Linked DNA regions of Saccharomyces cerevisiae S288C. The protein of the gene in region 1 binds, or shares a complex with, the protein of each later gene. Each region holds a gene or a part of one and is shown in the gene's direction. Other genes may lie near its edges.

The links. The genes of interacting proteins can lie anywhere in the genome.
Region 2: the proteins of GRC3 (region 1) and LAS1 are in contact, whole or in part, in a crystal structure (PDB 7Y18), measured with the Saccharomyces cerevisiae proteins. Residues at the interface, in NP_013065.1 of Saccharomyces cerevisiae: Glu72 (codon at 2,185), Gly73 (codon at 2,188), Asp74 (codon at 2,191), Glu75 (codon at 2,194), Asp76 (codon at 2,197), Glu77 (codon at 2,200), Thr173 (codon at 2,488), Glu177 (codon at 2,500), His180 (codon at 2,509), Leu181 (codon at 2,512), Arg183 (codon at 2,518), Asn186 (codon at 2,527), Glu200 (codon at 2,569), Arg201 (codon at 2,572), Tyr456 (codon at 3,337), Asp457 (codon at 3,340), Phe458 (codon at 3,343), Ala459 (codon at 3,346), Pro460 (codon at 3,349), Leu461 (codon at 3,352), Leu462 (codon at 3,355), Lys463 (codon at 3,358), Ser464 (codon at 3,361), Ala465 (codon at 3,364), Pro466 (codon at 3,367), Leu467 (codon at 3,370), Gln468 (codon at 3,373), Ile469 (codon at 3,376), Ser470 (codon at 3,379), Gly477 (codon at 3,400); in NP_012989.3 of Saccharomyces cerevisiae: Ile2 (codon at 2,066), Pro3 (codon at 2,069), Pro4 (codon at 2,072), Arg5 (codon at 2,075), Ile6 (codon at 2,078), Val7 (codon at 2,081), Pro8 (codon at 2,084), Trp9 (codon at 2,087), Arg10 (codon at 2,090), Asp11 (codon at 2,093), Arg36 (codon at 2,168), Gln39 (codon at 2,177), Arg40 (codon at 2,180), Gln42 (codon at 2,186), Ser43 (codon at 2,189), Tyr44 (codon at 2,192), Arg45 (codon at 2,195), Leu46 (codon at 2,198), Lys47 (codon at 2,201), Gln50 (codon at 2,210), Tyr51 (codon at 2,213), Leu52 (codon at 2,216), Pro53 (codon at 2,219), His54 (codon at 2,222), Val55 (codon at 2,225), Arg94 (codon at 2,342), Asn97 (codon at 2,351), Gly98 (codon at 2,354), Leu99 (codon at 2,357), Asp101 (codon at 2,363).

Annotation. Positions count from the first base shown.
Region 1 is NC_001144.5:66,609-71,043, forward strand, and holds GRC3 (polynucleotide 5'-hydroxyl-kinase), read left to right. Parts: upstream 1-1,971; coding exon 1,972-3,870; downstream 3,871-4,435. Other genes in the region: E3 ubiquitin-protein ligase PRP19, read right to left, coding at 137-1,648; putative AAA family ATPase RIX7, read right to left, coding at 4,025-4,435. UniProt on the Saccharomyces cerevisiae protein: Polynucleotide 5'-kinase involved in rRNA processing. Required for the efficient termination by RNA polymerase I and the processing of the IST2 pre-rRNA internal transcribed spacer localized between the 5.8S and 25S rRNAs.
Region 2 is NC_001143.9:560,289-564,359, reverse strand, and holds LAS1 (rRNA-processing protein LAS1), read left to right. Parts: upstream 1-2,062; coding exon 2,063-3,571; downstream 3,572-4,071. Other genes in the region: OAF3 (Oaf3p), read right to left, coding at 1-1,813; transcription factor TFIIE subunit TFA2, read right to left, coding at 3,708-4,071. UniProt on the Saccharomyces cerevisiae protein: Regulates cell surface growth, bud formation and morphogenesis. May act indirectly by regulating factor(s) involved in these processes.

The DNA of each region.
Region 1 (4,435 bases):
ATTCTTTTTTCTTTTTTTTTTTTTCTCACTAAAGCGTTGTCCTAGAGATGTAAAAAGAGAAGGAAATGAAATTTTTACTGGAAATGTTACTACTATTACACAGGTTTATTTAGAAAGTACAAACGTGTCAGCGTATTTAGGGTGTCAATGCAACAATATTGAAACTATCATTTGTCTTCAGAATAGCGGCAATACCACCATCTCCGCATACCACGTCCATATCAGTGAAATCGGCAGTGTCGCTTTGCAAACAGAGGGCGCTCTCCTCGTCTTTAGTCCAATTTTTTGTTTTCTTGTCAAATTTGTATATCGTCAGCGAATTGCTCTCGTTTGAGTATGCAATCATATTCTTTCCAGAGTCGTCAATGTCATAGGTAACGGTGCCCGTCTTGAATTCTGGGATTGTGTAAGTTGGATACGCTAGCGTGCCGACATCCTTTCTTAGGTCAAAGCAAACCACAGTTTGGTCACACTCTACTACCATCCAGTACCCATTGTCTGCAAATTTAACCTCTTTTATCTTGGCTTCTTCATCTACGGGGAATCTAGAGCTTGCCTGGTCAGGTGATGACAAGTTGTAAACGTCTAATATACCGTCCGGAGAGTAAAGGGCTAATAATAATGAATCCTTATGTAGGACACCGCTGCTGTACTCAACATCTGATTTAGCAGAATGAACAATATACTGGGAATCATCCTCGTAGGATTGAAATCCTATGGTTCCTCTATTATCCGCCCAGATGAAGTACTCTGTGTTGACCTCGTTGTGACCATACATATATATAATCTCATTGGCGGAATCTACCTCTATTTCTCTGAGGACTTTGTTTGTTTTTGAGTCCAATATAGTTATTTGGTTACCTGGATATAGTAGTAGCAAACGATTACAAGGCCCTCTGGAAATAATAGCTGGATGCTCTCCCCCGGTACGGGGATTTGGTGTAGTTATTGTGGTAATCGTTTTCGAATCTTTTAATTGGGTAAAATGTAAAGCACCATCCTCACAGCGACACATGCACACCCATTTATCATAGTACATAGATTTGTTAAGCTCTTTATATGGGAATGTTTTGATGTTACGGGAGTAATTTTGTGCCTGTAATAGCTCCAAATTTTTTAAAATCGGCCATTTGGGTGCTTTGAGCTTGCCCCTCGCTACAAAGTCTCTAGAAGATTGTAACAGCCCTTGTAAAAATTCTTCTCTCGTAATAGCTACCGCTTGCTGTGAGGATTTGGGTAAATCCTTCGAATCTTCGTTTTTTTCCATCAATAGTTGCGCAGCGACCAACTTTGCAGCATCTCTTTCGTACATTACAGTCGACAGTTTTTTCGTTAAACTATCTAGAGTTGATCGTAACTTAAAGTTTTCGAGCATTATAGCATCCCATTCATTCTGTAAACTTGTCAACAGATTCGGAATCGAATAATTCGCTTTTAACGTAGCAGAGTTTGTAGACTCTGTTAGTGAGGCTTGTTGCGCACTAGGTACGATTTCCACTATTTCTTCGATGCTTAAGGGCTCATTTGTTATCGGATCATTCCCCGTATCTTTAACATACTGTTCAAGGAGCGACTTTTCAAAAATAGTCCTGGATTTAGGTGATAGAACTGGCCTTCTAGGAACTTTCCCACTAATAGCACAAAGCATTGTTCCCTAGTTGGCTTTCTTGGCTATGTTTTGGTCTTTAATATTTCTTGGAAAGTTTGCATCTTTCTAAAATTGCCCTTACGAATTTTTCACCGCTGCTACCCGAAAAAGTACGAAATTTATCAACATGAAATTTATTCCTGCCAAGTCATCGAGTGCTCTGCGCCTAAGGCTTAGGTTGCATTTAAGTTGTCTTAATTCACGCTTATAGTGCAGGTAGTATAGGTTCCCCACTCCTGATCTTTCCCTTCTGAAATAAGGAAAGACTGCAGTTTAGTTTGGCAGAGAGAAGAAGATAATCATTTCTATTATATTCTACCGCTATGGTGATAGATTCCAAACAGGATCTACCTCAATATACCAAAGATTCAGGTTCAGAATCGGACTCAGACTCAAGTAATAATTTCATTGTGGAATCTCCGTCAATTCCATCTTCAAAAAGTGCAACCGTAGTTCTCAATAGTGAAGAGTATGAGGACGACGAAGGTGATGACTTGAACGGGCTGGATGCTGAATTGATCGATAATATAACGTATGAAGGAGATGAAGATGAAACTATGTTTGTGGGGTTGAAAGAAAAACAGAAGTTACATTTATCTGGTGTTTTCCGGCTGCAAGTGGTGAAAGGAGGTATTGTCTACAACAATGTACACTATAACGCTTCGAGAGAAATTTTAACCTTCTGGCACCCGTTATCACAGTCCATACCTACTATAGATTTTTCGCACTTTGCAGGCTGGCAAGACACTTTTTTTATGCCGAGAAACAACAGGTTTAAAATTAGAGATGAAGAATTCAAATCATTTCCATGTGTTCTTCGCGTTTTTAATTCTAATCATACGGGCTTGTTAGAAGCAGGTCATTTATATCGGGATGTTAATTATCTATGGAAACCTAAAGAACCTTACTTTCCATTAAACGAGAGAACAACGTATCATTTATTACATGAGTCAGACCGAATTCAATCTTTATCCGTGCCGGGATATTGGTCAACTCCGTTAGAGAAGTTATATTTGAGTCACAAGAACGCTGCGTATGATACAAGAATCATGGTGATTGGTGGTAAAAACTCTGGGAAGTCTACATTCTTGAGGCTTTTATTGGAAAAATTTACGCAAGATATACGAGATTCTACTACGAGCCAGGAAGAATTGGTATACCTGGATTTAGATCCTGGTCAACCTGAATACTCACTACCTGATTCAATATCCCTGAATAAGATTCTTTCCAGCCCTATTTCTCTCGGACAACATCTCTGCCAAGGTTCAAATTTCCAAACTTTGTTACAGTTCTACGCTGGCTCCTCTTCCCCGCAGGACGAGCCCACATCATACCTGAACTGCGCTGATAAACTTATAGACCATTTGGAAGAGCAAGCCTTCTTCGGAACGTCATTGCTTAATCTACCTGGGTGGATAAAAGGATTCGGGATGCAGATTTTAAATCATATAATAAGGAAATATAAGCCCACTCACTTATTGTTTTTGGAAACAGCTAATTCGAAAAGACACCTGGATGAACTAACAATTCCACAGAGTTTTTCCACATCACTACGAGATGCATATGCACCTGAAGTTGTTCGCGTTCCAGCCCATAGTCTGAACCACACCTTATCTTCTAGGTTCCATGCATCACAACTGAGAACATTCAAAATACTGGCACTGTTTCATAAAATAACTCAATTTGATTATGATTTTGCGCCTCTTTTAAAATCTGCACCTTTGCAAATTTCATATGGCAAAGGTAAAAGCGGTATTAAAGGCATTCAATTTCCTATGGAATTCCAGGATCTGAATCCTCAAGATATCAAGTCCGCATTGGAAGGTACTGTCATTGGGATATATACATATTCTGGAGAAGACTCACTAGAGGTGAAATCCTTGAATACCTTTCCCATCCTACAATCGTGTACTTCTTCTTCTAAAAATTTCATAACTCTGGGGCTGATACACTCTATTGACACCTCCCAGCAAATAATGAACATTTACGTGCCACCTTGCCATACCCAGATTTTAGATAAACAACCTGAGGATGCTCAATGGATAATAGTAAGAAATAAGACGGAAACTCCTTTTTGTGACTTTCTTCCATCCCCCCGCACAATTACATGGGATGATAATATACAAATACCGTTCGCAACTTTTGAAAGAAGGAAAAAATTGGAACATGTGTGGAAAGTTCGTAAGAACGTCATGAGACGTGGCCAATTCATGAAAAGATAGAAAGAAAAGGTAATCGTACATTTTTTAATAGTGAAAGATAGAGGATACACAAAAATCATGCAAAGTTTTATATATTTGTTATGTATACTCATATTCCTTCAATATCTAAGTCATACTAACTTCTAGGGACTTTACCAAAATATTATTTATAAATTTATTGTTTCATTTCTTCCGCATCCTTCATCTCCTCCGTTAAACCCATTTTCTTATTTAATCTATCATATTTCAGTCTATCTTTATCGCTCACAGAGGGTTTAATCTTTCTTAATGCACTTCGGAAGTCAGACATGGTCACAATAATTTCTTCGCCAGATACGCCAACCGATAGATCCTCAAATTCCTTGTCTAAGTCATTATCAAGAACAGATTGTATTTCTTCGCTCTGAAAAAACTTCCTTTTTAGAGCCAAGACTGAACTCTCCCTGACTAAAGCAGCCAAGTCAGCGCCTGAAAAATTGTTGCACTTCTCATTTCTGATAATTTCTTCAAAATCAACATCGCTACTCAGAGGTGTTCCGTGTGATTTGGTCAAAGTTTTGATAATATCTAGTTTTTCCTCAGTATT
Region 2 (4,071 bases), on another chromosome or scaffold:
CCTCTAAGGCATCACTGTTAAAAAAGTAATTGTAGCACTTCTCTGAGATATGAATGACCATATCCCACAAATCTTGGAAACTCTTATAAAATTTTGTAATATTGCAGTCATATTCATAAAAGATCATTTCTCCGTGCAGCAAACTTAGTGAGAATAAATCTATTATCCATTCCATTTCGAAATCAAAATGACGCATTGTTTCTTTTTCGTTTTTCGACAGGCTTTTTAAAATATGAAAGTTTCTTTTTAAATCATTTATTAGTCGGTGCAACAAGTTCAAATCTACCTTTCCTGGATCATCGTTCAACGTATCGTTTATCTTTTTCATCAAGTTATCCAGGGTTAACATTCGTATATACCATGTGGGTGTATCTGCTTCTTCTTTGAAATGGCACTGCAAGGTTTTCCCAATTTGACATTCTTCACCGCTAATAAAACACATCTTCCTGTCCCAAAATAAAACATAACTCCATATCTTTCTGAAAACTGAAATGTAATCGCTAGGTTTCATTATATCGTATGAAGGCCTCGTATGTCGGTTTATTTTAAATGAATATTTTTCTGGATGAGAGAAGCAATACCAGTTAATGCCCATTTCTTTACATGATGATATTATTGTCCCCATTAAGATTTGACAATATTGAGTTTCGGGTCCATCGCCATCTTCAGGGGCACACCAGTGCAAGAACCTTAGTAATATGAGACATTGCAACTGTAATAAATTACATTTTCTGAGGACCTTCGTCTCGAACAAATAGTGTTTAACAAGAGCCAAAAACTTAGAGGTATCAATTTCTTGAAGAACCGGGTATATATATGGAGTTAGCTTCGAAAACTGGACAGAAAGTCGGCATATTTTAATAATCAACAAGATTATGCAGAAAACCATATGATCGTAGTGTTTTATAGAAATTGGATTCCCTTTCTCGACTATATTTTGATAAAATATCGTTATTTCATGACGCAAAACTTTCATATCGAAAATCGGTATCATATTGTAAATTTTTTCTTCAAAAAGTGCTAAAACCTCACTTTCAAGTATTTTTAAAGGAGGCAAATAATCCTTTGCTAATATAGTTTCTGAGCTGAATTTTTTAGCATTATTTTCTCTGTATTGAGCGAATTTGTTAAACAATGATTTGTGAATAGTCTGATGCATGCGGAAGTTATTGCCCTTACCAACAACATCATCGCTAATGTGGCGTTCGTCATCAGCATCGAAAGTGGATAAAGCTTCGAAAGATTTAGGCAAGCTTCCATTTTTCACATTATTGCCGTTGCTTCCCAATTTATCCATCATTTTTTTGATTGCGATACTTCTAAATGTTACCATTGCTTGGAGATAGGGGTCGCGATTTTCAATTGCTCTATCCGTGAACAGACCAAATAAATTATCAGCAGACCTTTTGGTCTCTAAATAAAACCCATTAGGGATGAGGTCAATAAAAAATGGAGTTTCTTCATGAATTGGTAGATAATAAAGTGATGATTGATTTTCAAGTTCTCGTACTCTTTGCCAGTGATCTTCGTCTTGTCTTGTCTGTGACGATCTTCTTTTCTTAATGAAACCTGGACTTATTCGTTCCGCAGGAGTTGATTGTTTCCTCAGAGGGTCAGCATCATTCAATGAAGGACTGCTTTCAGGTTGTCCAGAGCTATCGGTGAGATAGACACAGCTGTCCACATCTCCCAGTCGTACACATGTTCCACATGGTTTCGTTCGATCGCACTTACTTTTCCTTTTTTTGCAATTTGTGCATACTACAGTAATTCGATGTCGTTTTTTTGTCCTAACTTGGGAGTCATATCCCATTATGAGATCAGTTGTCAACTAAAGTCTGGTATCAATTGGTTTCTAGTTTCTTTCTTCTCTTCATAGACTCATAACACTGCAAAATCGCAACAATAAATTCATGACTTATTGTTATGCAAAAAATTACCCGAATGTGAAAGATTAATAAGCTCATCGCAGTCGCAGAAAGAGTGAAAAAAATACCTAAGAATGCCTAAATTAGCTTAAACAAAAGTCATTTCTAGAAAGCAATGAAAAAAGGGCAATCTAATGATACCACCACGAATCGTTCCATGGAGGGATTTTGCTGAACTAGAGGAGCTGAAACTTTGGTTTTACCCGAAAAGCAAAGGAACCATTGAAGATAAGCGACAGCGTGCAGTGCAAAGAGTACAGAGCTACCGACTAAAGGGTTCCCAATATTTACCTCACGTGGTGGACTCTACAGCACAAATAACATGTGCGGTATTGCTAGACGAAAAGGAAGCGTGTTTAGGAGTACATCAGGATTCTATTCCTATCCGGTTATCGTATGTAATGGCTTTGATTCGGTTTGTCAATGGCTTATTGGATCCAACGCAACAATCTCAGTTCGCTATTCCCTTACACACATTAGCTGCTAAAATTGGACTGCCGTCCTGGTTTGTTGATTTGAGACACTGGGGTACACATGAGAGAGATTTACCTGGATTAGAAATGCTTCGTTGGGCCGCCAATGAAGCGTTATCTTGGCTATATGATCACTACTGGAACGATGAGGAATTAGAAGATGACAGGGATGATGATGACGATGATGATGATACCGGTTACGGATACAGAAGAAATGATAAACTGGAGAAATATATGGAGTCATTAACTAAAACACTTGATAAATGGAAGCGACTTAGAAACGAGTTTCTGGAATACAAATGGGTGTGGGAGAATGCAAACGATAGTTTAATTACAAGTAGTAACTTTTCTGGGGATAATTTGGTGAACTATGATGCCGAAAAGAGGAAAAGTTCACACGCAAGTTCATCAGAAACTATGATCAGGGAAAATTTGCGTCAATGGCAAGAACTTTGGAAATTATCCATTTATCACAATGTGGTTCTTGAGAAATTTTTTAACAATTATGACCCACTTTTACTCAAAGTTTTAATGCTTAATTTGAACAATTTTGATTGGAAGGTCATTGAGTGGGTAGCTAGGAATTACAGAACCCAACAAGATGATAGTAATATAACGACAATTTTAAAAAGGAAATTCAATGCCTGGAAAGAACTACAAAAAAGGCTGTTAGATGTTATTATAAATAACCTTAACAATAAAAATTTTAAAAATAAATGGCAAAATTGGGAGAAACTTATTGATGAAAATGCGTCATACTTGATATTGTATTTTTGCCAATCTATGCTGGCCAAACTAGAGACTGAAAAAATTACTGGTAACTCATGGAGAAACAAAAAACGGAGAAAACAAATTGATAGCACAGTGGAAATCGAGGCAAAACTGAAGGAAAACATAGACAATTTATCATTAAGGTTTAATGAAGGTGAAATAAAGCTGTATGATTTTATTCCTGCGGAAAAAGATTCCGTTCCATTGAAGAAGGAAGTGAGTCCGGCATTAAAGGCTGATACCAATGATATACTAGGCGATTTGGCGTCTTTGAAACAGAGAATGAGCAGTTTCGGAACAGTAGGTAAAAAAAATAAACAAGAGGAGAACAGAGCTACACCAGTAAAAAATTGGTCAAGGGTTCAAAATTGGAAACCCAAACCCTTTGGTGTCCTGTAACCTGTTTCCAATGCTCGTTATAAATACGTTGTAGACTATAAAGCTGAGTTGTATGCTGCACCCTAACGTGCATGTATATATAATCACAGTCTCTTTAACCTAATATGCAAACGAAAATGATTTAATCAAAACAACCTCATACTCTATGGGAATAATCTTTCAAGATACCGGTCATATGAGTGTTAGTAATCTTACCCTTTCTTTGTCTCTTCTTTTTAACTTCAACTCTCTTTGTTTGTCTTTTGATAGTAGCAGGATCGACACTAGCAGGCTTTAGACCTAAATCTTGCAGCTTTCTTGGCAATTCTGCAAATTGCGGTAATTGCACATTTTCCCACATTTTAACAAACTCCTCGTCAATACATTTCAAGTTACCACCGCTGTTATACCAAACGTATCTTGGAGTTTTATCCTTTTTAGTTCTTAACACCAAAATTTTGCTGTCTTCCTCCAGTTGGTTAATCGTTTCATCGCATTGTGGCCAACCGTCTTTCAAGTCT